Drosophila melanogaster: one gene and its partners. The protein of the gene in region 4 purifies or fractionates together with the protein of the main gene of each other region. This does not show direct contact. Each region holds a gene or a part of one and is shown on either strand. Other genes may lie near its edges.

The links.
Region 1: the proteins of Adh (region 4) and Mlc2 purify together in Drosophila melanogaster (affinity purification with mass spectrometry, with the first as the bait; one large-scale study listed by BioGRID). This does not show direct contact.
Region 2: the proteins of Adh (region 4) and Cyt-c-p purify together in Drosophila melanogaster (affinity purification with mass spectrometry, with the first as the bait; one large-scale study listed by BioGRID). This does not show direct contact.
Region 3: the proteins of Adh (region 4) and fln purify together in Drosophila melanogaster (affinity purification with mass spectrometry, with the first as the bait; one large-scale study listed by BioGRID). This does not show direct contact.

The regions. Positions count from the first base shown.
Region 1 is NT_033777.3:30,169,715-30,178,065, reverse strand, and holds Mlc2 (myosin light chain 2), read left to right. Parts: upstream 1-3,514; 5' UTR 3,515-3,579; coding exon 3,580-3,582; intron 3,583-4,251; coding exon 4,252-4,494; intron 4,495-4,653; coding exon 4,654-5,076; 3' UTR 5,077-6,628; downstream 6,629-8,351. Other genes in the region: CG15530 (uncharacterized protein), read right to left, coding at 1-89; CG1983 (uncharacterized protein), read left to right, coding at 520-612, 677-889, 975-1,122, 1,182-1,423, 1,481-1,549; Rsod (uncharacterized protein), read left to right, coding at 6,999-7,068, 7,384-8,296.
Region 2 is NT_033779.5:16,715,338-16,723,250, reverse strand, and holds Cyt-c-p (cytochrome c proximal), read right to left. Parts: upstream 3,320-7,913; 5' UTR 3,275-3,319; intron 1,243-3,274; 5' UTR 1,202-1,242; coding exon 875-1,201; 3' UTR 607-874; downstream 1-606. Other genes in the region: Cyt-c-d (cytochrome c distal), read right to left, coding at 3,799-4,116. UniProt on the Drosophila melanogaster protein: Electron carrier protein. The oxidized form of the cytochrome c heme group can accept an electron from the heme group of the cytochrome c1 subunit of cytochrome reductase.
Region 3 is NT_037436.4:19,988,015-19,995,042, forward strand, and holds fln (flightin), read right to left. Parts: upstream 3,207-7,028; 5' UTR 3,135-3,206; intron 3,110-3,134; exon of another isoform or gene 2,838-3,109; intron 2,726-2,837; exon of another isoform or gene 2,621-2,725; 5' UTR 2,617-2,620; coding exon 2,357-2,616; exon of another isoform or gene 2,291-2,356; coding exon 2,135-2,290; exon of another isoform or gene 2,073-2,134; coding exon 1,940-2,072; 3' UTR 1,537-1,939; downstream 1-1,536. Other genes in the region: schuy (schumacher-levy), read left to right, coding at 1-18; Csas (CMP-sialic acid synthase), read right to left, coding at 55-331, 387-591, 648-838, 891-964; CG7646 (uncharacterized protein), read left to right, coding at 6,611-6,721, 6,794-6,937. UniProt on the Drosophila melanogaster protein: Possibly involved in the regulation of flight muscles contraction, possibly by modulating actin-myosin interaction.
Region 4 is NT_033779.5:14,612,536-14,621,161, reverse strand, and holds Adh (alcohol dehydrogenase), read right to left. Parts: upstream 5,611-8,626; 5' UTR 5,519-5,610; intron 5,034-5,518; exon of another isoform or gene 4,860-5,033; 5' UTR 4,824-4,859; coding exon 4,725-4,823; intron 4,660-4,724; coding exon 4,255-4,659; intron 4,185-4,254; coding exon 3,918-4,184; 3' UTR 3,615-3,917; coding exon of another isoform or gene 3,519-3,614; intron 3,093-3,518; coding exon of another isoform or gene 2,688-3,092; intron 2,637-2,687; coding exon of another isoform or gene 2,319-2,636; 3' UTR 2,260-2,318; downstream 1-2,259. Other genes in the region: Adhr (Adh-related), read right to left, coding at 2,319-2,636, 2,688-3,092, 3,519-3,614.

The DNA of each region.
Region 1 (8,351 bases), on a different chromosome or scaffold from region 4:
CAGTGGCGGACCTCGGAGATCCTCATCGTGACCAGGTAGCCCAGCGCGGAGTTCAGTGACTCGCAGGCGCACCTAATAGCGTCAGCCATGGCTGAAGTCGAGGAGTCTGTGTGCGTCCCAGTGAAGGCATTTCTCCCCGGCACAGGGTTTTCGAAAGCTAAAGTGCGGCGAAACTTACTGCCAAAGCAAAGGCAATTGGATTTCGACTTTTTCTTAGCTAAAGCTAAAACTAAATATTTTATTCATATGCCTTAAAAACAATATCCTCTTTGGTGTTAGGCGTTAAATTACTTTTAAAACTCCCCGCCTTCATCTGTATTTTCAAAACTAAAAGTATTTTATTGGTATATTCAGTAAACTCAGGTCACACTGCCGAACAGCTGATCGACTCGAAGGTTTTGTTTTTATTTTTGCAAGGGCTGTTTCTTATCATTGAGTTAACCAATTGTAAGAACAATAACTACTATTTATCTGTACTTATATATAAAGAATATTATTCATCTCGCATTTTTTAGTTAAATGCTAAGACGCACAATGGCGGAATTCGACGTCAAAGCCGGCCTGCAGCACGTGTTGAAGCGCATAGACGAGGTGCTCCTCCAGCGGCCCAAAGTAAGTTAACTTAAGACCCACTTATTAATGACCTCTTAAATGAAAAACTTTATCTCTCGCACAGGAAGTTCAAGCTGCCAGGCCGCTGCTCGTTGCTGTAAGCAAAACAAAGCCAGCGGAGGCCGTAATCGAGGCTTACGAGGGCGGACAAAGAGACTTCGGTGAGAACTATGTACAGGAGCTGGAGGAGAAGAGCCGCCACCCGGACATTCTGGCCAAGTGCCCCGACATCAGGTGGCACTTCATAGGCCACATGCAAAGCAACAAGATCAACAAGGTCAATTGGATAACCAAGATCGGATAACAGCGTTTATCTCTTATCAGCACCTCTCTTTATCTTATTGATCTCATTGTTTATTTAGATCCTTTCTGTGCCAAATCTGCATATGATCCAGACCGTAGATAGCGAGAAGTTGGCCACCAAACTGGACGCAGCCTGGTCTAAGCGACAGCCCACCCCTGAGGAGCCATTGCAGGTGCTCATCCAGATCAACACTAGTGGTGAAGACGGTGAGTCTCACGCCCCCAAACTAGCGACCTTATACTTACTTTCCTAAATCGACCTCTAGTTAAAAGCGGAATAGAGGCGAAAGATGCTCCTGCACTCTACCAGTACATCAAGAGCAACCTTAAACACCTCAACCTGATGGGCATAATGACCATTGGTGCATTTGGTTTTGACTACAGCAATGGACCCAATCCGGATTTCGTGTCCCTAATGCAGGTGCACAGATCCATATGTGAGGCGCACTCCTTGGCCCCGGACTCGGTGCTCGTCTCCATGGGAATGTCCAACGACTTCGACAAGGCGGTAAGCTACAAACCGACTGAGCAAGTTCCGTCTCTAAAATCGAAACTATTCCCTCAGATCGAAATGGGCAGCACAGTGGTGCGCGTTGGCTCTTCTATTTTCGGCCATCGGGCGGCCAAGGTGTAAGAAGGGGAGCGGAGCAGAGATGTGATAGGAATGCGTTGCGGGCACTGAATACAGCCGATTCCCAATGACGTCCGACCTCACGACTGAGCACCTCCAAGTTCGCTCATGTATCAGGTGGAACTGGGTATATTCACACAGACTAACGTAGTAAATCAGCAAATCAAAGATGATTTGGCGTTTAAATTTAGAAACCCTTGAGATAAACAAATGTTATGTGTAGGCTGTTATTTGCCTTATTTAATTGTTAACCCTTTATAAACAATGCTTCCAAAGTGTCAAAACCATTAATATTCCCAGAAACATTCTGCACCTTGGAAAATTGAATACATTTGCCGCAGTTTTCATTAGTTTTAACATTCCTTCGACTGCGTCTTGCTCGTTTTTTGCACTTTGTTCTATTTTTACATTCGCGTATATTCAATGCTACTTTGCGTATTAGATTGTGGGCAGTTTTCCTCTATATCTTCTTGTTTTGGTTGGCCCCAGGCCAAAATGTCGCCTGGTTACGTGCCAAAATGGCTGCGCCATGAGAGTTTTCGCCGAAAATCACTTTCAATGGAGCACGAAGATGACTGCAGCCTAAATCGATTTTCATTATGTCTGATCGATGAATTATGAAGGCTTTCTCGCACGGATCCCATCGTTAATTGAGATATTTTCCGTTTCATAAATTTGCATAGAGCCTTCATTAATTATAATATTAGCCAGCGAGGGTAATGAATTCAGGTGGCAAAGATGACCTCATGTAAATATTGTTTTGAAAAATGTTTTGGCTTATTTCCTTCAGAAAGCAAAAAGTCGAATAATTTGCAGAATGAATATTTCTAAAAAAAATAGATGTAAACTATATGAATAATAATATTTTGTAACACTTGAAACTAAATTGAAATTTCCTGCTTATTTGGAAAACTAAAAATGTGTAAATAAGGCTTTGAGAATCCAATTTGTCGATTGAAGTTGTCACAATTTTACTATTTATTTACTGAAATGGCTTAAATAGCTTGAATACTGCAGTGTTTAATATTTTTAGTAACAAGGTTAATGTATCATGACGTGGTACCCAAAGTTTATCTGAAATGGAAATCCTACAGCCTTCCCATTGTTATGCAATGTCCATGGATGACTAGCATATAGATAAAGTCAGATGTTTATTCCACATTTGTTGCCGAAATAACTCTGGTCCAATATCGGGTTCGTTGGATATTTATGCGACACGAAATCCGCCCGATCGCCGTGTATGTATATACAGATCTATAGATTTGGAATTCTCGGCGCTCTTCATATTGCACAATGTGCGGGGCATTTCGAAAACAGAAAAAGGAACGTAGGCGAGCAAAACATCGAGTATATAGGCGTGAATAGAATACATACATATGCTATATGTTGGCATATATGTATGCTGTCCGCCGCCAAGGAAAATGTAGGTGATTTCAGCGCAAGAGGACACCTTTCGGAGGTGGCCTCTGGCAGAGAGACGCACCGAGTAGTGAAGCAGAGCAAAATAAAAGAAAACAAAACAGAATCCGAGGATGGGGAAATGTATCCACAACAGAGAGCCGCTATATGAACCAATCCGAATCGCCCCGAAATAAATTCCGAACATATGTATAGGCTTCTGCTGCCCAAAAGCCAAAGCCAAAGCAATTTCTCTGCCTTTAAAATTAGATTTTTGATTAGAGCAGCGCCCGATGGATGAGTAAACACCTCGGATACAGCTACACCATAGGCTATAGGCTATAGCCATGGCTATATCTATATAGTTGTAGCTGCCCGCCCCCGCCGATCTCCTGGGCGGACCTCGCCTTGCAGATACTAAAAAAGGCAGCACGAATATTGCAGATACGGATACAGCGAATGGCGCCCGAAGATCCCCGAAGGTGGCCGAACCTCCACGAGCGGCCCCAATGCTTGGAAGAAGAAGAGCTCCTCCGAGCTCTTAAAACATCATTGTCTTGGCGATAAAATCAGCCAGAGATTCAGTGTGCTCTGACGGCTCGACTCGATTAGACAACACATCAAAGTTCAGCACCATGGTAAGGACTCGTCCCGGAATATCACTACAATCCAACTGAACCGAACTGAACCGAACCGAATCGAACTGGACCCCAGTGCCTGGATATATGCAGCAAGGATAATGCCGATCAGTGCAGTGAATCGTTTGCATTCGAGAATGACCCCGAGGATATGAATATGAAGTGAACCATAACTCTAAATCATGGTGATCCCGATTCACCTTCTTCACATACGCAGTGAGAATAGTGCAGAAAGTTCTATAAATGGATCGATCCGATCCGAGTGTTACGCGTCAGTAATGTAATCTGATATCCGTGCCGGGGAGCGAGCGAGACAGCGAGTGGCGCACGGCGGAGAGCTTACGTAATATGCGTCCGGTATATTTTTAGAATGAGTGGAAAACTTTCGCCTGCAGATACATATTTTCTGGCCTAGTCGGGTAGGCCTTTTGAAAAGCATACCTTACATCCCTTAAATCCCTATTAAGGGATAACTTTCTACCCATATAATTCCAATTGAAGATCCTTCAACGCGGATAACTTACTAAGATCCCTAAAACGAATAGTATAACTTCCGGAATCGGAACTTTCAAGTGACAGCTAAAGACGGACTATAACGACTAATGACCGAGTAGATACCCCCTTTCTGCCACGAGTCCCTACTAATAAATCCCTCTTTTCTCTCCTCAGGCCGATGAGAAGAAGAAGGTTAAGAAGAAGAAGACCAAGGAAGAGGGTGGTACTTCCGAAACCGCTTCTGAGGCCGCATCCGAGGCAGCAACCCCGGCACCAGCTGCCACTCCTGCCCCGGCCGCATCTGCCACTGGTTCGAAGAGAGCGTCGGGCGGATCCCGTGGCTCCAGGAAGTCGAAGCGCGCTGGCTCCTCGGTCTTCTCTGTGTTCTCCCAGAAGCAGATCGCCGAGTTCAAGGAGGTGAGTTTTGGGCGTTACTCATATATCGCATCATATGTCGGATCACTCGAGACCCATCCCATCATCCTGTCATCCTACCATCTATCGCACTTGTCAAGGACCAAGTCACCAACACACTCTTTCTTTCTATCTCTCTCTGTCTCTGTGCGGGATCGATAGGCCTTCCAACTCATGGATGCCGACAAGGACGGTATTATTGGCAAGAACGATCTGCGCGCTGCCTTCGACTCCGTCGGCAAGATCGCCAACGACAAGGAGTTGGACGCCATGCTGGGCGAGGCCTCGGGTCCGATCAACTTCACCCAGTTGCTGACCCTGTTCGCCAACCGCATGGCCACCTCCGGTGCCAACGATGAAGACGAAGTTGTTATTGCTGCCTTCAAAACATTCGATAACGATGGTCTCATCGACGGTGACAAATTCCGCGAAATGCTCATGAACTTCGGTGACAAGTTCACCATGAAGGAGGTTGATGATGCCTACGATCAGATGGTGATCGACGACAAGAACCAGATCGATACCGCCGCCCTGATCGAGATGCTCACCGGCAAGGGTGAAGAGGAGGAGGAGGAGGCCGCCTAAGGCACATCCGATCACATCCTAACTTCTAACTCAACATCCATTTTACAGCCAGAATCAGAACGTTAAATCAATCAGTCAAATCAGTAATAATAAACGTAATTAAAAGAAACGCTCGTTTACATATGTAGATTCTCAGTATCTTGTAATCTCTTTTGTTAACCATCACCAAGTACCTTGTACCAAGAACAACACCACCAACCAGATCAGCAACATCCGATCAAACTGAACCTCAAAAGAACTTCTTCAGCAACATTTGGTAGCGATCAGAACCATTTACCATGTATCTGTCCATCATAGTTAGGGATACTTACGATCACGTTCACTGTCACGGCAAGAACTGACGCGTAGTTTTCTAGTTGATTTACTGTTAAATTTTACACGTAAAATTTATAAAACATATGCTATCTATTTTATTTAAAACACCTATAAAATCAACAAAAAAAACTTAAAAACAACAAACAAGCCGTGTCTATTTTTATATCGCTGTCCGTTGAAGAACTAAAGAGAAGAACCCCCAGAGAGAGATGATTACCAGATCGAGATCGAGATCGGAATCGAAATGAGGATGTATGATGTATGATTTATGATGTAGGGAGGACGAAGACGATGTTGATGGGTAGCCGGGCTGTATTCGTTAGCCCTGCACCCGCGAGTTCAATTTGATTATGAATATGAATTTTAGCCAGTTTTGTGAGTTACAATGTTTTTCGTTCAAGAAATCTCGCAGGACCAGGAGAGAGAGAGGTAAACCCATAACAAACTATTGTTAGGGATCATTTAACTGAGAGCCAAATATATATCCTACTATCACAAAATATTTATCGTTATACATATCTATCGTTCGTTACTTACTTATTTATCAGTTATGAGTTATCAATATTATTGCAAGTTATCGAGAGTTAGGCTAATAACAGAGAAACATTAAGTTCATTCACTCAAATTGTTTAATGCGAATTTATATAACTTAACCATCGCCACCACCACAACTTTCTGCTTATGAACTATCAGCGATATAAACCACCCAAACGAACAAACAACCCAAAATGATATCTGAAATATGAAGAAACATTCAAATAACAAACCCAGTGTTTCTAGTTAATGCGTTTTGAAGCTTCCAGGATGATACGCCTCCCCGGGAAATAGACGGTCGGGGGGGTTTTAGTTTGAATAAGGTGCCCATAACCACTAGTACCTAGGCTGATCGGAGGAAGCACAATATATTGCCTTATTTATCTAATACTACTATTACTCAGAACTCAACACTTGACACTCGACACGAGCACACACCACACTCACACGCACACTGCAATCCATTTCAAAGTGCAACATGCAACAAGTTGTTAAATGCAAATCGAATCTTTACTTCAGTATATTTTAAGCTACACACGGCAAGATGAAAAAATTCAGAAAACTTTTAACCCGGTCAGGAATATTAACAAGAGTAAAACAAAAAACATCTAAAAATAGAAAACAAGTAACTGTTTTTATACAACATAACTAGATGATGATACGATGACGAAGTCTTGGAATAAAGCAAAAGAGAGTCGTCTTGAAAAAAAAACACAAAGCCATTGAAGTTTGATTTGCTCAGGGAAGGGGTTTTTTGGGGGTATGTAGTACCTTACTGCATATCTGACTCAGCTGAGCCGTGCCGGAAACCAGTTCCAGGTCAAAACAAAACCACCGATAAAGCTGGGGAGCTGAACGAAGCTGTGGAGCGCAGTGGGAAACTCCCCACACTTGGCCAAGACGATGGCCAAAACCGAACACGAACCTTCGAGCGACCAGTTGTCAGTCGAGTTTCGAGGCGCACGCATGCGCACTACGATGTGAAAGTCAGCCACGCTTGTCATTGCCACATCCATTCCGAACAGCGCTTTTCGAATAATCTGGTTACTCAGGGCGTAAGTAGAACCAGAACCATGGCTCCAGGTGGACGACAGCTTTTGTGGATGGCTTCCATCTGCTGGATTGCATCACTAATGAGTGGAGGTGAGTGCTGGGAATCGATTGCATTGTATGCAGATATTGCGTGGCCAAAGAAATCGAAAGTATCTCAGTTTGAGTCTGGAATATCTCACCACACTCTCGAGTGCACTGCAAGAAAAGTGATATACATTTGGGGCGAACTAAGCCCTTATCCTATGCTGTATACTTTGCTTCGAAAGTAAACTAACCTTTTATTTCCAACACTATATTTTATGCATATAATTATATTATTCATTCATATTTCTCTCTCTGCGCCTATGAGATATCTCACCTTACTAATGAACACTCCACTCTCACTATCGTTTTTGTGCCTCTCAGCTGATGCACAGCATCTGATCGCTTATATCTCGCAAAGAGGTCTTCATGGAGAGATCACTTTTCGGCAAATGAATGCCACCACGGTGGAGATCAAGGCCAACCTGGAGGCCACTTTGCAGTACCCCGACCAAGTATGGAGTTGGGGAGTACGTCGCTTCCCCGTGGACTACTCCAATATTGACCCAGACGAACGCTGCGAACTGAGTCGTTTGGGCTCCCAGGTCCTGTCCTTTGACGAGGACTTGGAGTACCTGGTACTGCCCGGAAATGAGACCTCCAGCTGGGAGCGAAACATGCAGTTGATTGGGGATCGGGGAATCTGGGGGAAGTCCCTGGTTCTGACAGAGGTCAACGCTAATGCACGGATCTGTGCCACCATCACCACCATCCAGAGTTCCGTGGAGCACATGGCAGAGGCTCGTTTTAATACTCCTGTCGCTGGATCTGTCCATTTCCGCTGGCTGGCCCCGGCGGAGGGAGCTGTTGGAGATACTCTAATCTACTCGGATCTTTACCATATTAGGGCGCAACCAGCTGCTCTGGAGGAAGATAGAAGTCAAGCTGGACCGTTCACCCAGCACCACTGGAAGATCTATGTGACGGACATTTTCAAACATGACCACCATCGCACGGAGGACAACTGCAACTTCCTGCAGCAAGTTTTCGATCCCCAAGGAAGTGGAGCTGGCAAGGGAATAGGTGATCTGGACGCACGCCTAGGCAGGATTGGAGTGGCCAAGAATGCCCTTCGTTCGCCACAACGCAGCGTTTTTAGGGATGCTCAGTTGGCCCTGCTGCCCTCGGATCTTACCATTCCCCATAGAACTCTTTACCTGGTTCTTTTTGACAACCAACATCCAGATTCGTACCTCGCGTGCACCAAGATTCGCCATGTCCAACCTTTGACACATAAGTGAGTGGTTTTTACAACCCATTCTATTTGAAAGTATAACCATTTTTTTTTTGTT
Region 2 (7,913 bases), 2.1 Mb from region 4:
AATAAGCATAATTAAAACGAAAAATATGTATTGCATAATAAAGTTGTTATTAAAATGTATGATACAATTTTGGGAGTGTAAAAGAAAATATACATAAATTAGCCAAAAAATATAAAAATACCAGTGTATTCTTGTTTAACGATTGGCCAAATAGAATGTGCATTAAGAGAGCATTTCGACCCTAATAGTTTTCTACTTTCTCTCTCAGTAATACAATCTTATTGTGATGTTTCTGCGTAACGTATCGACTCTTTCTTTGTTGGATGTTTTTAGTGATGTCTACCTCCACGCAATGAACTAAGGAATTTGCAGCAACCCAGGATGATTTGTGGTCATCTTTGTGCGACTCAGATGAGTAAGGCCTATATAGATCAGCCAACAACATTTTTGACAGACGCAAAGAGTATGCTGCAGTCGAGTTTGACGACTAACAGATACCTATTGATAGAAATTGCCAGGACAATTGTTTTATAAATATGATTGGTATCTCTTATTTTTAATTTGAGTTGCCCGAGTCAAAAATCTGAAGAAGCTTTTTTTATTCTTTTTGACCTGCGAGCTACAAAAACCAGGTCCTCGCATAAAACAGATTTTATATCATTTTTTAGTTCTTTTTTTATTATTTAACTTTTTTGTGGATGTCACAATTCTCATCGGGTTTGAATTAAATATTCCACTTTTTATTTAAATTAAATAATAAATTGTCCTATTTAAACTTTATAATTAACATAATTGTAGTTCTTTAGGTCTGTACTATGTTGATTTGTAGTTGTAGTTGTTGCTGCTGCTGCATTTGCGTGCCGGACTGTGACTGAACACAATAATACAGTTTGACATCCTGCAGTGGTTGTGGGTAAGTTGATGGACAGCACCATTACTTGGTCGCCGACTTCAGGTAGGCGATCAGATCGCCGCGCTCGTTGGGCTTCTTCAGACCGGCGAAGATCATCTTGGTGCCGGGGATGTACTTCTTGGGGTTCTCCAGGTACTCGAACAGGGTGTCCTCGTTCCAGGTGATGCCCTTGGCCTTGTTGGCGTCCGTGTACGCGAATCCGGCCGCCTGTCCGGTCTTGCGACCGATCAGACCATGCAGATTGGGTCCAACCTTGTGCTTGCCACCAGCCTCAACGGTGTGGCACTGGGCGCAGCGCTGCACGAACAGCTTCTTTCCCTTCTCAACATCACCAGCAGGAACGCCCATTATGGATTATGTGGTTAATTAATGTGTTAACACGGACTCGACTGTAAAAAGAAATGTTTGTTATTAATGAGTGGTTCATAAAACAAGGGTAACCAATATATCTGTTATCTTACATCTTAGGTTTGAAAAACTTAAAAAACTGGCTACTAAATGGTTCAAAGTTCATAACTGCTACCAATTAATTTGTTCTATTCTGATAAATTGATTACAATATATATTTTATATCATTTGCTTATGTACTTAGTCCGAAATTCTGGTTTCACTGCAAAAAATAGTTATACGATATTTGATACCATTTATTATTAGCCCCAATGAACCATTGTGTAGATACTGATAAAAGCTTCACTTTCAGCCATACATTATCAAAAGATTATTGAATAAATAAACCCGAAATTTAAAATTTATTAACCAGTTGATTTCCCAACGTTACTTATATAATATTATATATTTTTAAGGTATTAAAATAATAACGTCTTTATATCATCAAAAATTTCCATGCTTGGGAAATAATGGGTTAATGTAGGTAGTTATGGACCGTGAATTAATATTTGTCCCCTTGCCCCGTTATGTAAACAATTGATAAGCTCCCTGCGGAAACGGAATTATTAAAATTGCTCATGCTAAGTGCATTAGTCGGCTGTTGTTTCTGATAAGGCCCGAAATTATTATCTAACGTAGTCTGCATTTCCATTTGCGGCCACCCCCTTTTTAACCCACATACTTTGCTCTCACTAATACGCGCGTGGAGGGCGTCGCAACGTCATCAGAAACACACTTTGAAAAAGCTTCAGACGCTGGTCACATGTTGCCCCCACACTCTTTCTCTCCTTCTCACACTCTCTTTGTGTCTCACTCGCTTATATTTGCCAGTCGCCGATTAATTGCGTCAGAACTGCTCAGCAACAGGCGGAAAACTTCCAGGAAGCATCATAATACGAAAAACGTTAGTTGTTTACATAACTATTCTATTATTCCAGGGTCTGTGTTACGGTCATCCTGCTAATTGCCGGATTATAAATTGCATGCAGCAATTTGAACTTGAGAGTGCAAAGTACCGTTGCGGTGAGTAATTCACCTACACATCACGCACATAGACTGAGAGAAATTCGATTAGCTGAAGCTCTTTCAATTCTAGAAAACTAATTTTATTTTATATGCATTTGTCTATAAAAACAAACCTAATATATATAGACTATTGATTTTGTGCGCTTTTACACATAATTTGCATTTAATATCAACCTTTTTTTCACTTCTTTCTGTGTAGAGTATCATGCACTTTGGCAGTGAGAGGTGGCAAAGCAACAACAATGTCAACATCCGATTTGGCCTTGTTGAGTATTTTTCAGTTAATTGCCGTGCGTGAGTGTGCGTGAGATGAAGGGAAAGTGCAATTGGAAAATTGGAAGCAGGCCAAAGGCAGCTGTGTTTTTCCTTGTGTGGGTGAGCAAGGTGGTGAGAACAAAGAGATGAGTGAAAATTGGGCCAACATCCAAGTTTCCTGAGAGCAGCGAATGTTACATAAGCCGCCTTTTCGCAGAGGTGAATTCTCTTTTATTTATATTATAGAAAACTGCACATCGCAGAAAGCAAAACCTGCTTAGCAACCACGTGGCGCGCTTAAAGACTCCAAAGCTGAAGCATTGACAAAAAATCCAAGAATTAATTTTTGCCACTGAGCGAGCGAGACAGCTGATGATCGGGTACGCCACTCTCTTTGCTCATGTAATCGACTCTCTCCGGGGCTTTTTTCAATGGCAATGTGACTTTGGGATGCTATTTTTACTATTAATACACCACTGCTAATATTTGCTAAATAAACTATTAAATATCTAATAAAAAATCACACTTATACACACACACACAAGGACACGTTTATGTAACCTGAATCATCCCCCAAAGAATACGTTAAATTTGCATGCGAATCATTTTCAGAACAAAACACAGCTGCTGGATGTTACGTAAATGACACGGAAGTGTTTCTAATCTTTATCTGACTTGGGGCTTGATAATCAATAACTATTCAAGGTAATATTTACGTCACTTGAAAATACAAAAATTCCACCCACTACTTACATTGAACACAAACGTCGAGCGTCGCCGATTTTTCACGAATGACGAGCGCGCGTTATGTCGATAGGTAATTAGTGTGACCAGAGTGACCGGGGGCCACGCATTAAAAAATGTCGCAAGCTTTTGTACCCGTATTTATCCACCACACGGCGTATAAGTAATTTTTTCCCCTATTAACGGGACTATATTGGAAAGCCTCTGGAAAATTTGCATTATTTAACAAGCTTCTCCAATTTATTACATTTTGCTAGTAGGACCATAAAACCAACTGTGACCAAAGCTGATTGGTACAACACTTTCCTCCACCCGCGTCGCACACAACTTGAATTAAGAAGAGGGTTTTTGGTTTATCAACTTTAATTGGCTAAAGTGAAAGTAAACCTTTTTGAAATGTATTTGAGCTCGACCATTCCCAATCAAAGTTTCGAAATCCAAGTGAAATACGTCATCTTTTGAATATGTTTGTAGTCTTTAAGCGCAGTTTTCTGGATAGCATGGTGGCCGATCTTGTTGTTTCGCAGGCGATTCTACTTGTTTGACTTGAGGAAGGCAATCAAATCGGCCCGCTCCTCAGCCTTTTTAAGACCTGCGAACACCATCTTTGTTCCGGGAATGTATTTCTTCGGGTCCTTGAGGTACTCGTCCAAATTCCCCTCTGTCCAGGTAACGCCCTTCTTTATATTGGCATCGGTATACTTGTATCCCGCTGCTGTGCCACACTTGCGACCCACGACCCCGCCAAGATTTGGGCCCACCTTGTGTTTGCCGCCCACTTCGTAGGTGTGGCACTGGGCGCACTTCTGCACAAATATCTTCTTGCCGTTCTCTGCATCACCAGAACCCATCTTGGAAGCCTGAAAGACAAATAGGGAAAAATGATATTTATGATTTAGAATTCAACTTTTTATGCAGCTTTTATTTCTATATTTTTTAATTTTTTGTTATTTGTTTTTTGTTAATTTGGATCAAATAGAAATTGGTTGATTCCGAAACTATCATGAAAAAGAAAAGTGTAGAACTAAAAATTTGATAGAAAAGAAAAACAGATTCAATTTGTTTCAGTGTCCTAAAAAACCGTTTGAAAAGTGCAAGTCCTGGACAACTGAGAGAGAGAGAGAGAGCGTTTCTCTTGGTCACTCTCTTGGCTGCACAGCGATAGACAGAGACAGCTGCTAATGCACGAAAGCAAAACAAAATTGGGTCAGAAAAATAGGAAAAACGAAAATTAAATCAAAATGGGTATTAAATGAAAAGCAAACAAGCAGCTCGAGAACTTGTCGGCACTTCTAATGGGAAAAGCAACCGAAAGGTAATTCAATTAGCAGACACATTCGGCTTGCCACCCCCTTTCCCAACCAATTCGTTGACTAGCAGATGCACATGTGCTTTGAACATTTCCTTTCAATTAAAACGCATTTTACGCACTCTCCGCTTTCGCCCCCTGCCTTCCCCTCTCTCAACCATTTTCCTGTGGCAAAAACAGATGCCACCGCATAACAAAACCAAAAAAAAAAAAAACAAAGCAGAGGGAAATGAATAACGGGAAAGAGACATGGAACCATGCCGCATACAACGGTCACACAGGGATGATATTCACCTGCAATTTAAAATTTAAAGGATCAATTGAAAATATTAACTATGTTTATCTCAACCAATTATCTTAAAATTAAATTTGTTTTAAATTTACAAGAGTGCATTATGATATTTTTCAGAGAATGATATTATTTATATATTTATATTACGTACGTATGTAAATGTCACATTCTAAATCCAAACAATGACATTTTCCTGGCAGCCCTGCACTGGTATTAGGTGTACTCCCTGTGCATCCATCTACATACATACATACATATATCCCCAATGGGACATCCTGGTTGTGACCTAACCTAATTGGCAATGGAACCATAATTTACCCGCAGGCTAAACTATCCTGCCTGTTGGCCCGAGTTCTTTTGCCGGACCACTATAAATAAATGGTGCAAGAAATTAAATTACGCTTGAACGGGCTCGGCCGAACATGGGGTAGTAGTAGGAAAGAGATAGCCTGCGGAAAGGTTGTGGGGAGGCTATATTGTTTACTAGATCTATTGCTGCGGAAGTCCATAAAAAGGTGAGAGGATGGTCCAGGACAAATAGAGTTCAAAAAGAGTGCAAAGGCACAAAGGAGTCTGCGTGCTAAAGGAGGTGCAGATATTGAATTGCCTGTAAGGTGCGGAAATTGTTATGCAAAAATAAAAAGCATATTGCGGCATCTGCTCAAATGTAATGAGGAAGGGAAAAATGTTTTATGTAGCTCCACCCGCTACTTTCGTAAAGTATGTAAGAGGGAAAAAACGGTTCCGACCCTATAGAGTATATTCTTAATTAGGATCACCAGCCGATCTGACAATGTCTGCTGTCCGTCTATTTGTCCGTATGTACGATACGCAGCTTTCTTTCAGAAGACTGCAAAGGTGTCACGCCAAAAACTATGATTTAACGTTTTTTTTTTTAAAAAGATTCTATCGATATGCCAAAAACTATAAAATCTTCCTAGCACTACCTCTAGCTGGGTGTATAGTCATGGAAATCGACTATACTGTTGTTCTCTTTCGTTTTTTTTTGTTGTAACCATGGAAAGTTCACTTAACATAATTTAATAACGGTTTCTTGGAGTACCTCAGACTTGACCAGTGAAATTATTATTATTGCCACTCCATACCCACTTCTGCGTCAATATCCTCGGTCAGCGGGTTACCAAGAACAACGCTTTGGCTGTTGCGCAATTTGGCATGACTTTGGGATTCCCGCCAGGCCACACCCCCTCGAAAGCTATACCCATAAAGAACCACCTCCCCAACCTAAAAAGCAGACATTTCTGGTTTGCCCCTGCCCTGCATGGCAGAAAACCTACATTTCTTTCTTGCTCCCCTTTCTTTTTGATTGCACAGTAATACTTATATGACATGATGTCAAATATTTAGATTAAAGAAAAGTTTTTATGAAATATTAGTGAGCTTAATATGGATATTTAAGGAAAAACACATTGTCAAAACTTTACATTAAAGATAATGGTAGCAAATACATTTAGTTAATTATAATTATATGTGCAAGCATAGTTGCTTTAGTTAAGCAAGTACCACTGTTTATGTTACAGCATGTGTTTATACTACGCGCTTTTCACTGCTGTTGCTTCTTCTTCTTTGGGGGGGGGCTTTCTTTTGAGGGGTGGTGCGTGGAGGGGCTGAAGAGATGGCTTCTTTTCTAGAACGAGGTCGCTGACTGCCCTTCAACGCTTTCAGCTTTCTGTGCTTGCGGATGCCCGAAAGTTACATAACCCCCCAACTACAACAACAACACCGCTAGTTGGTTTTGCATTTTATGCTGAGCGAGAGAGAGAGAAAGAGGTGAAAGAGTGGGGCAGAGAGACTAGAAAGAGAGCAGCTCCAACATAAATGACACGGAGAAAGCGCTGCGAGAGAGCTGCAGCGCTGCGCGTGAGAGCAATGTTGGAAATGTGTGAATGAAAAATTACTAAAAATGCTTCTTTTTGGGCATTTTATACCTGTTCTTTGCTCTGAGTGCACTGCTGACGTCTCTGCATCGTGCACAGTGGGAGAAAAGAAGGAGAATGCCAATAATTAGCTTTTTTAATATAGCTACTTATTTAGTTTAATAAACAAATATGACTATATGCTTAGTTTCATATAAAATTAAGCAATTGTAAAACTAGCTAAGTTCTTTTTTGCTGTGTAAGGGGCAGCAACAACGCAACAAGCTTACCCGACGGACAGTTCTTCTCGCTCTGCAGTTGCTTGTTGCTCGCTCTCTCGTTGGCTCCCTCTCTCAATGAGCGCTGGTTGGGGCAATGGCAATTGTGGCTGCTGCTCAGCTTGGCGTTTTCATTCAATCAGCTGAGTTCGCCGCGTTCGGTTTTCCCGCTGCCGATTCTGTTCACCGTTACACCGATCGAATATTACGCGTCTTGCGTCTGTAAAGGAACTGAAACGCACCAGTTTTTGAGTTGGAAAATATCCCCAAAACAACAAGACTCGGCGAGAACGGAAAATTTGTTTGCTGCTTGTCACCTTCGAAAGTTATGTGTTCTGGCCTTTACCACTACTGAAATTTCTAGAGCGTTTCGGTCAGGGCCTACCTAGCTGAATCCAAAAAAAGGCAAGAAAGCTACAGGGCAGCCACCAGAAAGGAGCTGCCAACTTGCATATTACGGTAAGTTGGTGGGAGCGCTACCGACACCCAGTGTTGTGTAATTCGCCACTCTTTTGTGCTGCGTGTGTCCTTGCAAAGGCTGCACGTGTCCTTGAAATGCGTCAAGTGGTTCCTGCGAGTCTCTCTTTCTCATCGTCGATTTACTCTCTCTTTCTGTTCTTTTACGCATTTTACGTAATCACGCCAAAACGTTGTTGTTTTTTATTTGCGTTTCCGTTCGAACGTAAGCCCCAACTCGTTTTTCATTTGGTTTTATGGCCTGCCCCCACTTCTATTTCAACCCCAAATTCTTTTACATTTCCTTTATAAATTCCGATATGAGCGAGACCTTTGCGACTTATATATGTAGTTCCTGCTAAAAACCAGATTATCCTATAAGGCTCTTGCCTTTTTTTTTTATCGCCGAAGGACATTCGCATATGAAGGGAATGGG
Region 3 (7,028 bases), on a different chromosome or scaffold from region 4:
AACATTCAAGATCAATGAACTTTACACTTTCTTTGATGAATAGCATATCTATTTCTATAACTCGGTTTTTGTTTCACTACTTAAGATGTATTTGGCTAGAGTCAGATCGTGGCTAGAGTCAATTTCCAGACTATCCTTGGCATCGATTTCCACAACGGAGCACCTATTGTTTTGCAGTAGCCCACTGTCCACCAGTTTCCTCCTCGAGAAGTAAAACATTCCTGTCTCTACAATATCACCCTGCCAATCTTGGCGTCTTGGCCTGGCACTCAAATCGAATTCCGCTGGCATCAATTCACCATCGACCACCTTCCATCGCAGATAATGTGATCTGAAATAGATCATAGATTTTTAAACATCTACATTTTTCTTAGAGCATAGTGTACCTCTTAGCGGCAAAAACACAGTCATGGGACTCAAACTTTCGAACAGCCTCTTGAATATACTTGGTTTTCAGGAATACAGATGTGCATTGGAATAGAGCAAAGTCATGAATACTTCTATGAACATCTAGGAACTCCGAAATGGCATGAAGTGAAGGAGTGTCGTCTCTGGCGAATTTCTCAGGCCGATGATGTATTATGGCACCATCTAAAGTGCTCAAGAGTTTAAAAGATATATTCACTATAATAATATTTAATGCTCACACTTTTGTGCCTCAATGGCAATTCGTTTGTCATCTGTGGAAACCCAAATATGTCGAAAGCAAGTCGAATTTTTGATGGTCATAATTGTGCGGGCCAAAAGCGATGAGCCACCAATTTCAGCCAGGTTTTTCAGCTTGATGCCTTTGCTGCCTCCCCTGGCCAAAATTAATGCATGAATATCGTTGCTCAGACTGAAATAAAATCCAATAAATAAAAGTACTCATAAATCTGCACTACACTAACCAATTTTCCGTGCACCCGGTTTCGAAAAGAAAAACTAGTAAAATAAGAAAAGTGGCCGGTTTCAGTTTTATCATTGCGCTGTGCTTCTGGTTGAGGTCGAAATTTAAATAAAAAGAAAAATCGTGGCGCCCATATAAGATATATGTATTAGGGTGAGCCAGTAAGTATAACATAAGTACACAAAATATTGAAAAAACAGAATATATTTAAAGTATTTTTCATGATCGTGATCCTTTTCTATTTTGAGTTCTTTTGTGATTTAATAATATAATTTAATTTAGTTTGCGATTAGTTCACTCTAAAATGTACTTGTACTAATTCAAACGCACACAATAGCCTAATTTACCCTATTGTGTGTTATTAGAGGGGTTGCACTTGTGATTTATGCAAATAGACACTTTATGGGGACTTTGGACTACTCTGATTTTCCTTACTCGTTCATGGAGGGCAGTACTCACCAGTCAGTCCACCAAAGTGGGTTTTAACGTTTCGTTCATCTTGTTTTAAATTATAATAAAAAATGGATTTCTCATGCGCTTGACTATGAAGTTAAAGTTTTTAAATGCCCATGGGGATTTCTTTAAGCACTAGTTTTTGAATACCTCATACCTGCCGTCATATTTGAATAGGAAAAACATCAATGTTTATTTAGTTTTATTTATTGCACAGTTTTTATTTTAAGCTTTACAATATAAATAGGTTTGTTTTATTTACTCACTTTGCTAAAAATGAAGTAAATAACCTTAAAAATACCATGTATTGAGAGGTAAGTTGTGTTAATATATATGAATAAGTACATATGGCAATATATTAACAGAAATTACGCATGTAAGAAAAAATATACAATATTCGTTTTCTTGAAAGGTCTCCACTCCATAAGGCAGATTCAGGATACAGAGTTTTGAGATGCGCAGATATGCAAACGCTTACTGACTGACTATACACATATGTACGTATGGATCTTTTGACAATGGGTGGTTACCCTTTATATAACTACGAGTGCTCATCCGTTCGTCCGACGGTTCTATTGGTACATTTAGGTGCGCTTACTAAAGGACACTGGCATACCTTTGGTTGATATATGCCTTGGTGTGGTAATTATAAGTTCTTATCGAGGCCGCCAGTGTTTGAATTAGTTGTTTGTCCCTCTTTGCCGGTGCATACGAATCAATGTCACTGCCACTGAGGTGGATAACAAATATTAACAACTACTATATTTACACAAACCGGATTAGCTACTCCACCTGATATTCCGTGTGCGCAGGACACGTTCCGCCCACGTCTGTGGTCTTGGTATTTCCCGGGCCACTCCAGTTTGTTTTTTGTCGATATAGTCAATTACATCATCGTAATAGTTGGTTCTGTAGTTGTACATGTATTTGTATTGCAGAAACTTCGGCCTGAAAAGTGCAGATTGCATAAGATACAGTACGGTACAGTGCTGTACAGTACAGTGGAGGACCAACCTGACCCAGTGGCGGTAGAGCTGCACCGGTTTCCTGTAACCATCGTCTTCTGGCGGAGGCGGCGGTGCTTTGATTTCTTCTACCTCTTCCGGAGCAGCCTCCTCGTTGGCCGGAGTGCCAGCCACGACGCTATCAGCCTTGTGATCGGATGCCACACTCGGTGCTTTTGAGGGTGGGGCCGGAGTGCCCGCCTGGGTGGATGCCGCCTTCTCCTCCTCGCCGCCGTCGTCGAAACCCCATGGATCTTCTTCGTCTGCCATATTACTGAAACGGAATCCTTTCAATATTATTATATATCTATCATAGACAGATTCACTTTCAATATTCGATCTCTAGGTAACGTAAGCCATCATCATATTATTATATCACAATAAGATACTTTAACAAATTCACTGTCTTCTTATTTTTTATAAACGTTGGCCTTTTAACGTTGCATAACATTGCAACACAACCTAAATTTCAATTTTGTTCTTAAAACAACCTTTTTCGCAGTTGATCGGAAATGTTTGGAATTCAGGACGCCCAAATAGCTGGCGTTCTTAGACCTTTCGAATTCAGGACGATTTAAATGGTTCAATGCATTATAATCTACATATAATGAGTTACATCATTCATCGATTGAATTGTATAGATTCATCTCTTAAACCACTCATATCACTGTTATCTTTCCAAAGGACTTTTTATCATAGACTTATTAATAGACGTTCAAGGGATTCACATTGATTTTCTAGCAGCTAAAACTAGGACATTGGGTCCACTGAAAAATTAGGGACCGTACCTTTACTATAGTGTTTATACTGATATAAAGGAAAAAAGACTAAATGATCGAACTGCTGCTCGAAACAAATGCACTTAGAAAACTTAATCTAAATATATCGAGAAGCAACATCTATATACAAAGGTTGGCATGCGTACTCACATACTAAATTTAATTGGCCGAAACGCTATTAACACCTATGTACTAAATAGTTTCACATTTCAGCATCAAAAGTTCCGGAACAATGAAAAAGTTAGTAAGCAGATTCAAATTTAAGTAGTCAAATAAATCTTTTAAGCTCAATTTGATCGATTTCAACAATTTGCTCATTTATACGGACTTAATTTTAAATAGTTACAACACTTGTTAACTTTTTCCAGAATAAGCCTAAAGATTATGAATCCTAGTTGATAAATGTTCACATAAGAAATCCGCACCGTAATTGTTAAATTTGTTATTTTAAAATTTTTTTGGTTTCATCATGAATCCAATAAGAATTTTAATTATTTAAAAAGGAACCGTTACTCTATCACGGGAACGACGAAAGTGGAACACTTCATAAATTTATTTATATAGGTTATATCTACGATCTAACTAATACTCTAACCGTATTGGTATTCTTGCTTAAATACATGCTTATAATTTTCTTAAAAGCCCCGAAATTAATTTAAAAACAATTTTGTTTAAACGGCGTGAAAACAATCGCCCTAACTTATCGATACATCAAAAGCGAAAACCAGCAGCACACATCGATAAGGCGCTCGTATATATATCGCCTCGATTTAAGCCACCCCTAAATTTGTTGTATTGATTGTGTTTTGGTCGAATAAGTTTATTGCATTTGCGAAAAGTGATTTTGTTTAGCCTAGCGGGTAGCAGAAATGTGCCTAAAATCAATGTGTCATTTTCGTTCAGGTAATAACCGCACCCACCTCCCGCCGAGGCGGCGAAAATCCCGTGTGAATCGAGCTACATACACACTTTAGCCCATTTTGCGTGCATATACACTGCATGTGCGTACATATGTACATACGCACCTGCGTACATATGTACATATGTAAATATCAAAAATAACAATTTAGGGCGAATTTGTGTGGAGAATAAAAATCAAGCAAGCAAATCGTTTTCCTAGGACATTGTACGTTGGGGCCAAGTGGACCATGTGACAAAGCCATGCCCACTCGCACACACGCAAGCACATATGGACACAAACAACAAACTACTTTATTTAAATCGAGCGGTTCGAGCAGTGCGAGCCGGTTATATTAATGCATTTTAATTCGCATTCGAATTCTCGCTCCAAAAAAAAAAAAAAAAACAGTGCCAATTTATGTAAGCGAGAACCCGAGGTCCACTGGGAGTTAAACGTGTGTAGCAAGTTGTGTAGCAAGCCATCGCCAAAGAAACCCCCGCTCGAAACGCATACACTTGGTTTGGTATACGATGTGGAATATTGGTGTCCAAGTGCCAGCCTTTCCCTGCTGACCACCCTCCCCCACCCCCTGCTGGAGCCCACTGGAGCCCCTTACCCGATTTGGTGTGAATATTATGTGCAAAATAAAAAGGCCGTAACACCGAACGAACGCTGGGGAGGAAGGGCAGGAAAAAAAACTGTAGGCGCGGGCCGTGCTTTCCCCACGTGACACGCAGGCGTATGCGTGTGCCAAAAATTCCATTTATTCGGCGTATATTCATCGCGAAAGGCGATTTCAAACTGCATTGACACTCGCACTCGCGTTTCTGGCCCAAAGTATACCAGCCATCTAGTGAAACAAGCGCTGATTGTGACCCACAATCCCAAAATAGCCTTGTTCCCAACATCTTACTCCAAAATACGTGTTCAAAATGGGGTTTTGGGTTTCTCCAGGAACCGAACTAATTGCCTCCAGATTGACCATGACCTTAGCCATTTTCAAAACTCAACTACCTTCCGTTTGGCACGAATTTGGCTCATGGCAGAGCTTTAATTTCAATTTTTTCGTTGCTGCTATTTTGAAATTTTAAATTGAGGGAGTTTCTTTATATTCTTTCGAAAAAAAAGATTCAGCAATATCGAAGAGAATCGCATATTCCATTATAATATTTTCTTACAATCCGATGGCGATTTTGTAGTAACAAGCTCTTTTTATATTTTCAGCATATTAGCCTCAGTAGGTAAATAATGCTTTGACTTGGTCGACGGAAATCAAACTGATGTAAGTAAAGGAATCACATAAAATGTACAATTAAATAAATACCAATAATATTTGTGCCTAGCTTAATTATAGCCTTAAATGCATGACTAACCCAATACTTAAGCAGCCAATTAAACAAATATGACTTGTAATAAATATCTTCCAAATGTGTGTGTAAACCTTTAAAGTAATCAATCATACTAATTGATCATGTTTAATACCGATTCGGATTTTATAAAACGAAGAATATAATATACCCTTGCAGATGATTTTATTTTTATTTGGTAAAAGCAACTAACTCCACTTATTGATGGAGCACATATTTTCCTACTCCTCTTGGTGCAAAATATAAAAGAATATTTAAACAAACGGAACCAAGTCTATTTTAATTTATCGTCTATATCGCTCTCCAAATCGAAGTAATTGTTTCGTCACTGTGCGAAACTAAAACATTGTTCATCGTTTGCACTTTCCATTGATCTTTGCTATCTCCAGAATGGCATTTCGCTTTTTCTGATGGGATCGCAGTTTGTGTGGACGGTTCGTTTTGGCGGTGAGGTAACCGCTCTTCGTGGGAATTGACTGATACAGCCTTTTAATTTGCAGCTCTGCATCGCTTTTTGTACATTTTCTAAACAATAATACTCCATAACACTTAGGGGTGACTTAAAAATGTTAAATTTTGCCTGAAATCTTTTAGAGTTCTTGTATACTTAACTCAAAATAATGAGCGAACAGCTAGCAATAAGCTATTTTGCAATAAACTGAAACTGGCTTTTACATTGAGAAATAACCTTTGGGAGAACTTATGTGACGCTCATTTTAATGTTCATTATGTTTCTTACCCAAATTATTTTACCCTTTAGCATATAGCATTTTCAAATATAAATAACGTGAGTGTAGGTGAACGTGGCAACCCTGTTCCCCTTTCAAAAAAGTCCTACCGTGTACAGAAAATATGGTTAACCAATAATCGTCATGTATAGAGACAATTTCCGCGCATGCGCCTCAACCATTTGATTAGTCCTTCGGTACACATCAGGTTTGAAATATACAAGTTAATAGTCAAGTACATTTTTGCTTATTATTATCAAGAAAAATTTATAAATGAGTCGCTCGTTCAATTTCAATTTCAATTTGTTCGTGCCACAATTCATACATATCGTTAACGTAATGCTATACAAGCACATTTATTGATTTGGAGTTTTTCTGTCCAGAAAATAAACATTAAGTCAAATGTACTGGCCAGGCAAAGCAATTTAAACAAAGAAAAACACTAAATAGAAACAAATTAGCTCCTAAAAAGTTAAAAACAGTGAAAACATGGGGTGCTTAAGTAGTAAAGACCGTTTAACCAAAGAGGACATGGAGTTCTTAAAAACGCATACGAGATATGACGAAGCCACAATTAAAGAGTGGTATAAGGGATTTAAGGTGAGTACAAATATTACCACACCAACGCAAAAGTCTCAAATTATGTCCGTTCGTCCTCCCTTTTCTATATAGCAAGATTGCCCCAACGGCCGATTGACGCCAGCTAAGTTTGTCGATATGTATAAAATGTTCTTTCCATCCGGAAATGCGGAAGAGTTTTGTGACCATGTTTTTCGTACATTCGATATGGACAAAAATGGATATATTGACTTTAAGGTAATTCTCTCTAATTACACCTTTTCTCTCGATACTATATTCGGTTGACTTTGGACACGTTAGAATAATGTTATTATTCCAATCATATCGT
Region 4 (8,626 bases):
TACATAGCAAATGGAAATTCAATTCTTTATATTCCACTAATTATTAGAGCATTACTCTTAAGGAACAATCAGACATCCTGCAGTTTGGTTTCAACACTCATAACCTTTGCTTAATTACTATAATACCATTGATTTCCCACTCCATTAATGAATGGCTATTAGGTTTCATAATGAGTGCATTATCAGTGTTGGCTATAAACTCCCATCAGATCAGTACTTCATTATCTCACAACGCTCATACACAGACAACAGCAGCGATCCATGCAGTTGCATAATCACTATCTTCTTTGGCTGTGGTGTGCATCCGTCAGGTTAATTAGTGAAATACCTGGTGACCAGGCACGTATTGCCATTTAAAAAGCATCAGTAATTTTTTCCTCCATTTTTCCGCAAATTTTTTTTTGTTGATTAATCTCCACCTACTGCCGGCAACCGGTCGGTCGCATGTTTTTGTTCGATCTACAGTGTTGGGGAAAATACTAGAACTAGTCGAAGCCTAGATACTCTTAGTATGAATAGTTGCATTCAATATAATTATTAGTCATTTAATATAACCTACCATTTACGAGTACACCTACAATCAAATGGACAAACAAAATTGGTCAATTACCGGCCCAGAATATTTATTATTTCGTGCAATGTATCTTGGTATCGTAATTTTCAATATTTTCCGGCATTTCCTTCAGGCGAACATACCCCAATATTTTTTGCGATTGCACTGCCTCTCCCATTTTGGCTATTGTGCCCTAGCCAATCGATTACTTCCTGCATTTTTAAATGTCCTCCCCCCCACCTCCTTGCCAACCGGCAGCTGACCAAATTAATCAAGCGTGTGCCAAAAAAAAAAAGTGGAAAAGGGGAGGAAACCAGCAAAAATTAAACGAAAAAAAGGAGTTATAAATGAAAAATGCTGGACAATTGCATGGTTCGCTTACAGTGACTAATCGATTTTTGGAATTAAGTTGCGCCATCGAAAGGAAAGCAAACTTGCAACGCCGGCGGACGGCAGGGAGTGGGAACTCTGGAAAAATGCTTTGATATGGCCTGGCCAGATTCCACTCCATGCGATTCCGTTGGTTCCATTCCGTTGCGTTGGGTCCTCAATGTCCGATGATATTGTGGCTCTTTTTGGTCTGCTGGCTATTGATTTTTTACGAACCGAGTGGCCCCCGACTAGAAGGAAGACAACGCACTCGAATTGGAAGTATGCCAAGGCGGCGTGCCCACAACTCACCCCACCATATAGCTGAGATATAGCTACACGATGAGAAAAAGCCAAGGCAAGATTGGAAGTAGAAAATGTATACTACTTAATGAATGCAACATAAAAATATTAAGAGTTTTTCAGTTTACTCGACCGTAGAAGGGCTATTGCGTTAGATTAGTACCGAAAATACCAAAACTATCCCAGCATTTATTTTTTTTTTTTCCTGGTGTATCTGTAGGCTCTCAGTGCCAATATTCCTGGGCAATGTGTCGGCAGATTTGTTTGTTTTCGCATTCGATTCTCGGTCGTCCGATTGGGTTTCCTATGGCTGACTGGGTCTGCCTGTGCGTTTGGAAATGTGCCAAAGTTCAATGCACGGCATTGCTCTAGCAAAATTTCGACATGCATTCGCATAGTTGAGATGCACTAGAGACGTTCTAGAAATGTTGCACGTAAAGTCTACGTATATTGTTGTTGAAAAAGCCTTGAGTAGTTGGACTTGACTTTGCACTTACAATTTAGATCAAAGGTTGTTAGGAGAACATATAGTCGACTGATGTCAAAAAAAAAACAGTATAGTTCACATTCCCACAACATGCATAACGTAACCCCATCATAATTAAGCACATCTAATTATAGCTCCCATCAACATTCGCTCGCCCAAAAATATATGGAAAGGCTTAATGTACACCCCAACAGCCTAGCAAGGAAGCTAGGAACTGCAGCTGTGGTCAATGCTGACCCTCGGACTAGAGTCAAAAGAAGACTCAAGCGACACCACCCTCATGACCTCCCTAACCTGGTTTTGACCTAGAAAGTCTTAGTTTTAAAATTCATTAGAATACTATGTTATATCAACTATTATAATTCTCCCTATCATTTTTAGGATTAAAAATCTGTTAGTCTTAAGTAACCAAGACACATAGTAAAATAAAATAATTTAAGCAGATCAAATTAAGTTGCCGCATGGGTAACAGTGCGTTGATCAAATAATAAAAACATCATCAAAAAAAAAAAAAAAAAAAAAAAAAAAAAAAAAAAAAATATCTATTATCATAGGAAAATGAATTGCCTACTTTTTGCGTAAAGCATTATTTTATTTGATTCGAATTCAATCTTGATCCTCTTCATCATTGCTCTGCATATAGTGCACGAACTGGTCGGCCATGTGCCAGTACCAATGCAATTTGACCAACTCGAGTCCACCCTTATCCGCAATCCATATCTGACCATTCTCCGATCTCTCGATGGCATTGACAATATTCTGACCACAAACCGATGTCGATTGGCAGGGCGCTCGCCGCAGGCGATCGGCAAAGGATTGTCCGTATTCCAAAAACGCTTTCAGTTCCCGGTCCACAAAGACCCTTGTAGGACCACAACAAACCGCCATCACAGCTACCCCGTTTTGGGAATAGTAAAGAGGGTCCTGAAACCAAAAAATTATGAATTTATCCGCATAAGATCGTATTCAACTCACCGCTAGACTTCTGGTAAATCCAATTACACCGAATTTGGATGCACTATATGCGCAGAAAACCGGCGAAGGGTCCAATCCAATGACCGAAGTGACGTTCACAATTAGCCCACCAGTTCCTCCCATTTTTCTGTCCATATAGGGTAACACTGTGGCCACAGTGTTCATCATTCCCGTTAGATTTGTATTGATGGTGGCATCAATGTTATTTTCATCGCACAGCGTAGCACCATTGATCAGGACATCGATGTAGTCCATTTGGACCATCACCTCATCGAAGTACTTCTTCATATCTTCCCTTGCCATGGTCACGTCGTAGGTCCAGAAAAATATTTGGGTACTCGGCTTTATCGACTGCAACTGAGCGATGGCCTGGGGATTTTCCGTACTCTGTAAAATGGCCAGTTTCTAGAGTAGAGAGAGTAAAACTGTAAGAAATTGTTTGGCTTTTAGTAGATAGTAACTTCCCCGTCTCCCTGAATTTCCTGATAAAGAATACAAATATTTACACAATATATTGCTTATCTGGCGATTAAAATAGACTTCATAGGTGGTTTAATATCGAAATATAAAAAGTATAAACGACAAAATGCTTATCATTAAAAAAAAAGATGAACACCAAGCTATTAGAATGAGTTTTGATTTTGTTCTAAAGTATTGATTGAAAGTGGCAAGTCCTTCAGCGAAATCTAAGCCGAACTGAAACATAAACTTAATTGTTGCTCAGCGCGAAACTAACATGAAAAACTCATTAACTTAATTAGTTTCGACAGCGACTGGCTGGACTAGTTTTGAGTTCGATCTGGACAGAAACCGAGCTTCCCGCTCACTGACCGCTATATTCTTGGTCATGAGAACCTTGCTGGTCTCCAGTGCAATTCCTCCGCAATCCGCCACATAGCAGACATGCTTGCCCGTCAAATCGAACATTCTTTCTATCCGCTTTCCACGACTTCTGTTTTACGACTGATTGGCGGAGGAACTTGGCCATGCTCCGCCATTCCTGCCGCTCCCATTTATCTATTTTAATTAAGTAGAGCGTTTATCAGTTTTTTGGATTTCTCAATTTTCATATATTTTTCCATATTTTTCATGGAAAGTTTTATTATCGTATTAGGAGAAGAATGTGAGTGTGCATCGAATCAGCCTTATTGCCTTGCGTGAATATCTTCTGGTTCGCAGAACCCTATGAACTAATGTTATGTTTTTTTTTTTTTTTGGGAGTATCACTTCTTAGATGCCGGAGTCCCAGTGCTTGGTCCACTGGATGGCCTCCAGGGTGCCCAAGTCCAGTTTCCAGATGGCTCCGTTCTGGTTCAGCTCGATAGCCTTGACGAAGTTCTCGGCGCAGGCCAACGAGGGCTGGGTGGGATGAGCCAGGAGCTTCTCGGCAACCTGAGGCTCAACATCCAACCAGGAGTTGAACGTGTGCACCAGGGTGGTGCGGGTGATGCCGGGGTTCACAGTGTAAGCCGTCACGCCGGTAATGGGGGCCAGTTTCTAAAGGTGTTATAAATCAAATTAGTTTTGTTTTTTCTTGAAAACTTTGCGTTTCCTTTGATCAACTTACCGCCAGGGAGCTGGTGAAGTTGACCACGGCGGCCTTGGTGCCGGAGTAGACGGGCACCTGGTAGATGGCATTGAATCCAGTGACGGATCCAATGTTGCAGATGATACCACCGGGACCGCCCTTGCGCTTGTCCCAGAAGTCCAGAATGGCCGTCGTGGTGTTGACCAGGCCAGTGTAGTTGACGGCAATGGTGCGCTCGATCTGGTGATCGTCCAGGATACCAGCTCCGTTGATCAGGACATCGACGGTCTTCAGCTGGGCGAAGATGGTCTTCAGCAGCTTGGTGGTCTCGGCAATGGGCACGGTCACATCATAGGGGTAGAAGGTGACGGTCACCTTTGGATTGATTGCCTTCAGCTCGGCAATGGCAGCCGGGTTCTCAATGCGGTCGAGGATCACCAGGTTCTAGGATTGAATACACGAGATTAACCTCCATCGCTGCATGGAGCCTGTGGGCATCGCATAGTTACCTTCAGATCGCGCTTGAGCAGCTCCTTGCTGGTGTCCAGACCAATGCCTCCCAGACCGGCAACGAAAATCACGTTCTTGTTGGTCAAAGTAAACGACATGGTGACTTCTTTTTTGCTTTAGCAGGCTCTTTCGATCTGTTTCAATTGGAAGAGGGCTCCGTTAGTTGTTGGTTTCCAGTTCGTGTCGGCCCCGTATTTATAGGAAGATCCGTACAGCAGAAGCTTCGGTTACGTAGAGCTTTTCATTATCTACCGTTACGCGATCTCGGCTATGTACGCAGGCTGCTCAGCCGGCGACGGCAGCGCTGCCTAGTTTATGGTTTATTTTTATTTTTCGGCACACACGGTTTGTTTTTGTTTGGGATTTTGTACCGGCAAAGCTTTTTCTATATTAGTATTCTTATATTAGTATTAGTATTAGTATTAGTATATTATATGCCTGATGCTTGGAAAATTACTGCTCGTCTGCACGCGCTCGCTTTTGAGATAGCTAACGAAGGCACGGCGCCGATTAACAGGGACGAGTTATGTTAAAATTCCTATTTTTAGAAGTTAACTAACAGGTGATTTTCCAAGAGGAATATGCGGAACAGGCCTCCAAATTTTAATTCGATGCCAATTAATTGAGTTCGCACTACTTGTGACAGCTTGAATTAGTTCTGATTGAATAAATTTGATTATATATGATTTTACAAAATATTTACTATTTAATACTGTCATTTTATTTCCGCACTTGCATAATAAATTCAATTAAACAAGAATTTCCTTCAATTGTGTGCCCTTTTGCTACTTACTTGATCAATTAAGTAAATTTGAAGAGATGCAAGTACTCGTTAGCCCGTCTGCTGAACTGCAACTGACAACTGCACTGAGACAATAATGCATGACTTGGACCTTCGCAGCTCCTTAAATACTGTTCTCTCGTGGGGGCGAGTGCAGTCGACGTCGACGGATGCAGCAGCAGCGGCGTTCAAATAATGTGTAATATGTAAAATGCAATAAAAATGCGCAAGCAAGTGATCTGCAAACAAATGCGGGGTAAAGTGCCCAATAGAAAATGGAACACCAGAAAGTGCACTGAGAAACAAATAAGTGAAAACGTAAAAACATAAAATGAATGAAAATATTCCAAAATCGAAAAAGAGTCAATCTTATTTACAAAATTTGTATTTTTCTCTCGTAGTAATTTTTTAACCGATTTTAAAAAAACACCGGTTTTCTAACAATAATATAACATAAACTTAAAACACATTTGTTAAAAGCATATGGACTAAAAAAAATATCTTATTCCGTGTACCGTTATTTCTATAGTAATTTCTTACAGTGTAGGGCCACGAGCCAGAATATTAAGAGCTTTGACCTTGTGAATGTCAAGCATAGCAAGGAGAAGTGTAGAAAGATCGTGTTGTTGCTGCGGTCGCAATTGAACTTCGGCTTAATTTGCATACGTGTAATACTGTGACTGGGAGCCAACGGGACTGGATGGTGATGGGAATGGTGATGGGAGGGGTGGCTGCTGGAGGCAGCGTAGAATCAATCTAGAAAAGTTGGAAAGCAAGCACAACACGCCCCCTAAAAGCAGCTCATTAGCAATCTCACTTGTCCGCAACAGCGACCAAGCCCACTTTGTGGCCGAGCCAGAGTAGCGGTTTCGAATGCAGCTAGATTTAACCCATGCTCGCACACAAGATTAATACATGTACATATTATTTAATTATATTAATTAAATCGGCAATACTATAATGCTTTAAAATTTGTTTGCCAATTTCGTAGATTTTATATATATTTGTTTATTTATTTATTCAAAATATATGAGTATATGTGTTTGGTAAGAATAAAATTGTATATGTTTACTCCACTTAATTACTTAAAAACTAATTGACTAAAAATCAATTTGGTTCAAATATTTTCTTGAGCAAATTTTGAATATAGGGCGTTAAATATGATGTGGGAGGAGGCTACTGCAAATTCATATGTATTTTTTGCATACAAATGATGAGAAGGAAAGAGATAAGCATGCGGAAGAAATAAGCTTTCAATTTGCATAAAACTTAAACCTGTTTGTTGATATAGAACTATATGTGTGTGTGCACACAAGTTCTATCACCTAATTGGAAAATACATTTGCTAAAGTATAAACATGTATTTCGGGTCATATATGGCCCAGTTCTCCCGAAGCTTTGAGGACGCTTAGGAATTCATAAAAGTTAAATCTTTTTTTCATATATTCTTATTAAATATTTTTGATAATCTTTGGGGGTCGCATCGAGCGTTATCACTAATCCATATATGGTCACTTGGGGAATGCATGATTGGAAATTTTCGGGCTCCGATTAAATTTTCAGCTCAACAATTTCCCAGAGTCAATAACTCATTTTCCAAATTGACCCACTAATCGAACGGGTTGCTCTCCTGCCTTGGCAACTGACCGCGAAGTAATATAAAAAAAAATCGTATGATTTTCGCGCCTCCAGACGTTAATTTAATATGGTCTGGCCTAGTCTGGGGCTACAGTTTTCCTTATCAGCAGACGTGCCTAACATCTTCTTACTGCTTGGGGCAAACGAAATCGTTTTTATTAGGTACACTGAACAAAATGAAATGCATGCAAATAAAATGAATTGTGTAAATAAGAAAATAAAATCAAATTTGTTTATCTTATTTCGTGCATGCGTCAAAGGAATTTATTTTTAGATTTATCTGTATTTTCTATAGTGGCAAAAGCTTTTGGTGATAACATTTCCCAAATTAATGTTTTGTTTTGGTGATAATTTATATTAGTTAATAGAGTATTTAAAAGAAAAACACATTAAGGTGAAAACATTTTAACTTGCAAGTGTATTTCCTTTACACATCAATTATCTTTAACAATATTTGGTCTTGATATATATTTTTATCAGTGTACACCGTGCAGTGGACAGTGTGCGCCTTATCGGCTTGGCCCCCAAGTCATGCCGCCGGTGACATTCAACCTCTGGGGGGGTAATGACGCCAGCGGCGTACCTGCCAAAACCGATTTACACCAGCTCCCGCACCAACGCACGCCCATGTCCATATGTAGGTACACACTCGCCAGCATTGAGATGTCGTTTCCCGGGCTGATTAAGTCGGTGGCGGTGGCGGTGGCATTGTCTTCCCGCTGCGAGTGTGTCTGCCTAGTGAAACGAAACTGGGGCTTCTAAACGCCGGGGTCTAAGCAGCTTACCTCTAGTGTTTGGGAGCGGAAAAGCGGGAAAACGGGTGGTGAAAGGAAGGGTTACCAGGGGCAAGGGGGAACCCTACTAGCGCACGTTCCATTTATTTGGGGCGCGGCTTGCATTGCATCTCGATGCAAACATAATCTAATTTACTATTCCACTGCCTGACCCATTTGACCCATTTGCCAATCTCTCGACAGCGAAAAGGAGGAAATCAACCTGGTTTGACGTAATTGAGTGCAGAGAATCTTTCCCGCGATCTGATCAGGTTTCCTACACGCTTGACTTTGCTTTTGGGGTTTGGGAAACCGCAAGACGGCTAACTCATCCTATAGCAATTATATATTTAGTATAAATGCAGTTAATTTTGTTTCGAATTCAACGAGTTATTGCAGATATTTGTTTGTTGCTTCTGATTGCCCAAAAACTATATTGTTACCTCTCACCTCGTTAGTTCCACTCTCCACTCTATAGATTTGATTCCATATTTATGAATTCAATCGCAAAATAGCCAACGCAAAAAAAAGAGGTACAAAACCTATAAAGAACTAGACCATAAACTAAAAATTGGTGCTGAGTCTTGATTATTCGCGTGCGAGCTGCCTTCTTCTAGGCCTTATAAATAATTCGCTTGACACACCTCAGCACTCCACTCGCACTCACTCCCTCTCACCTGACTGCATAGGTGGATGAGGAGAAATCAAC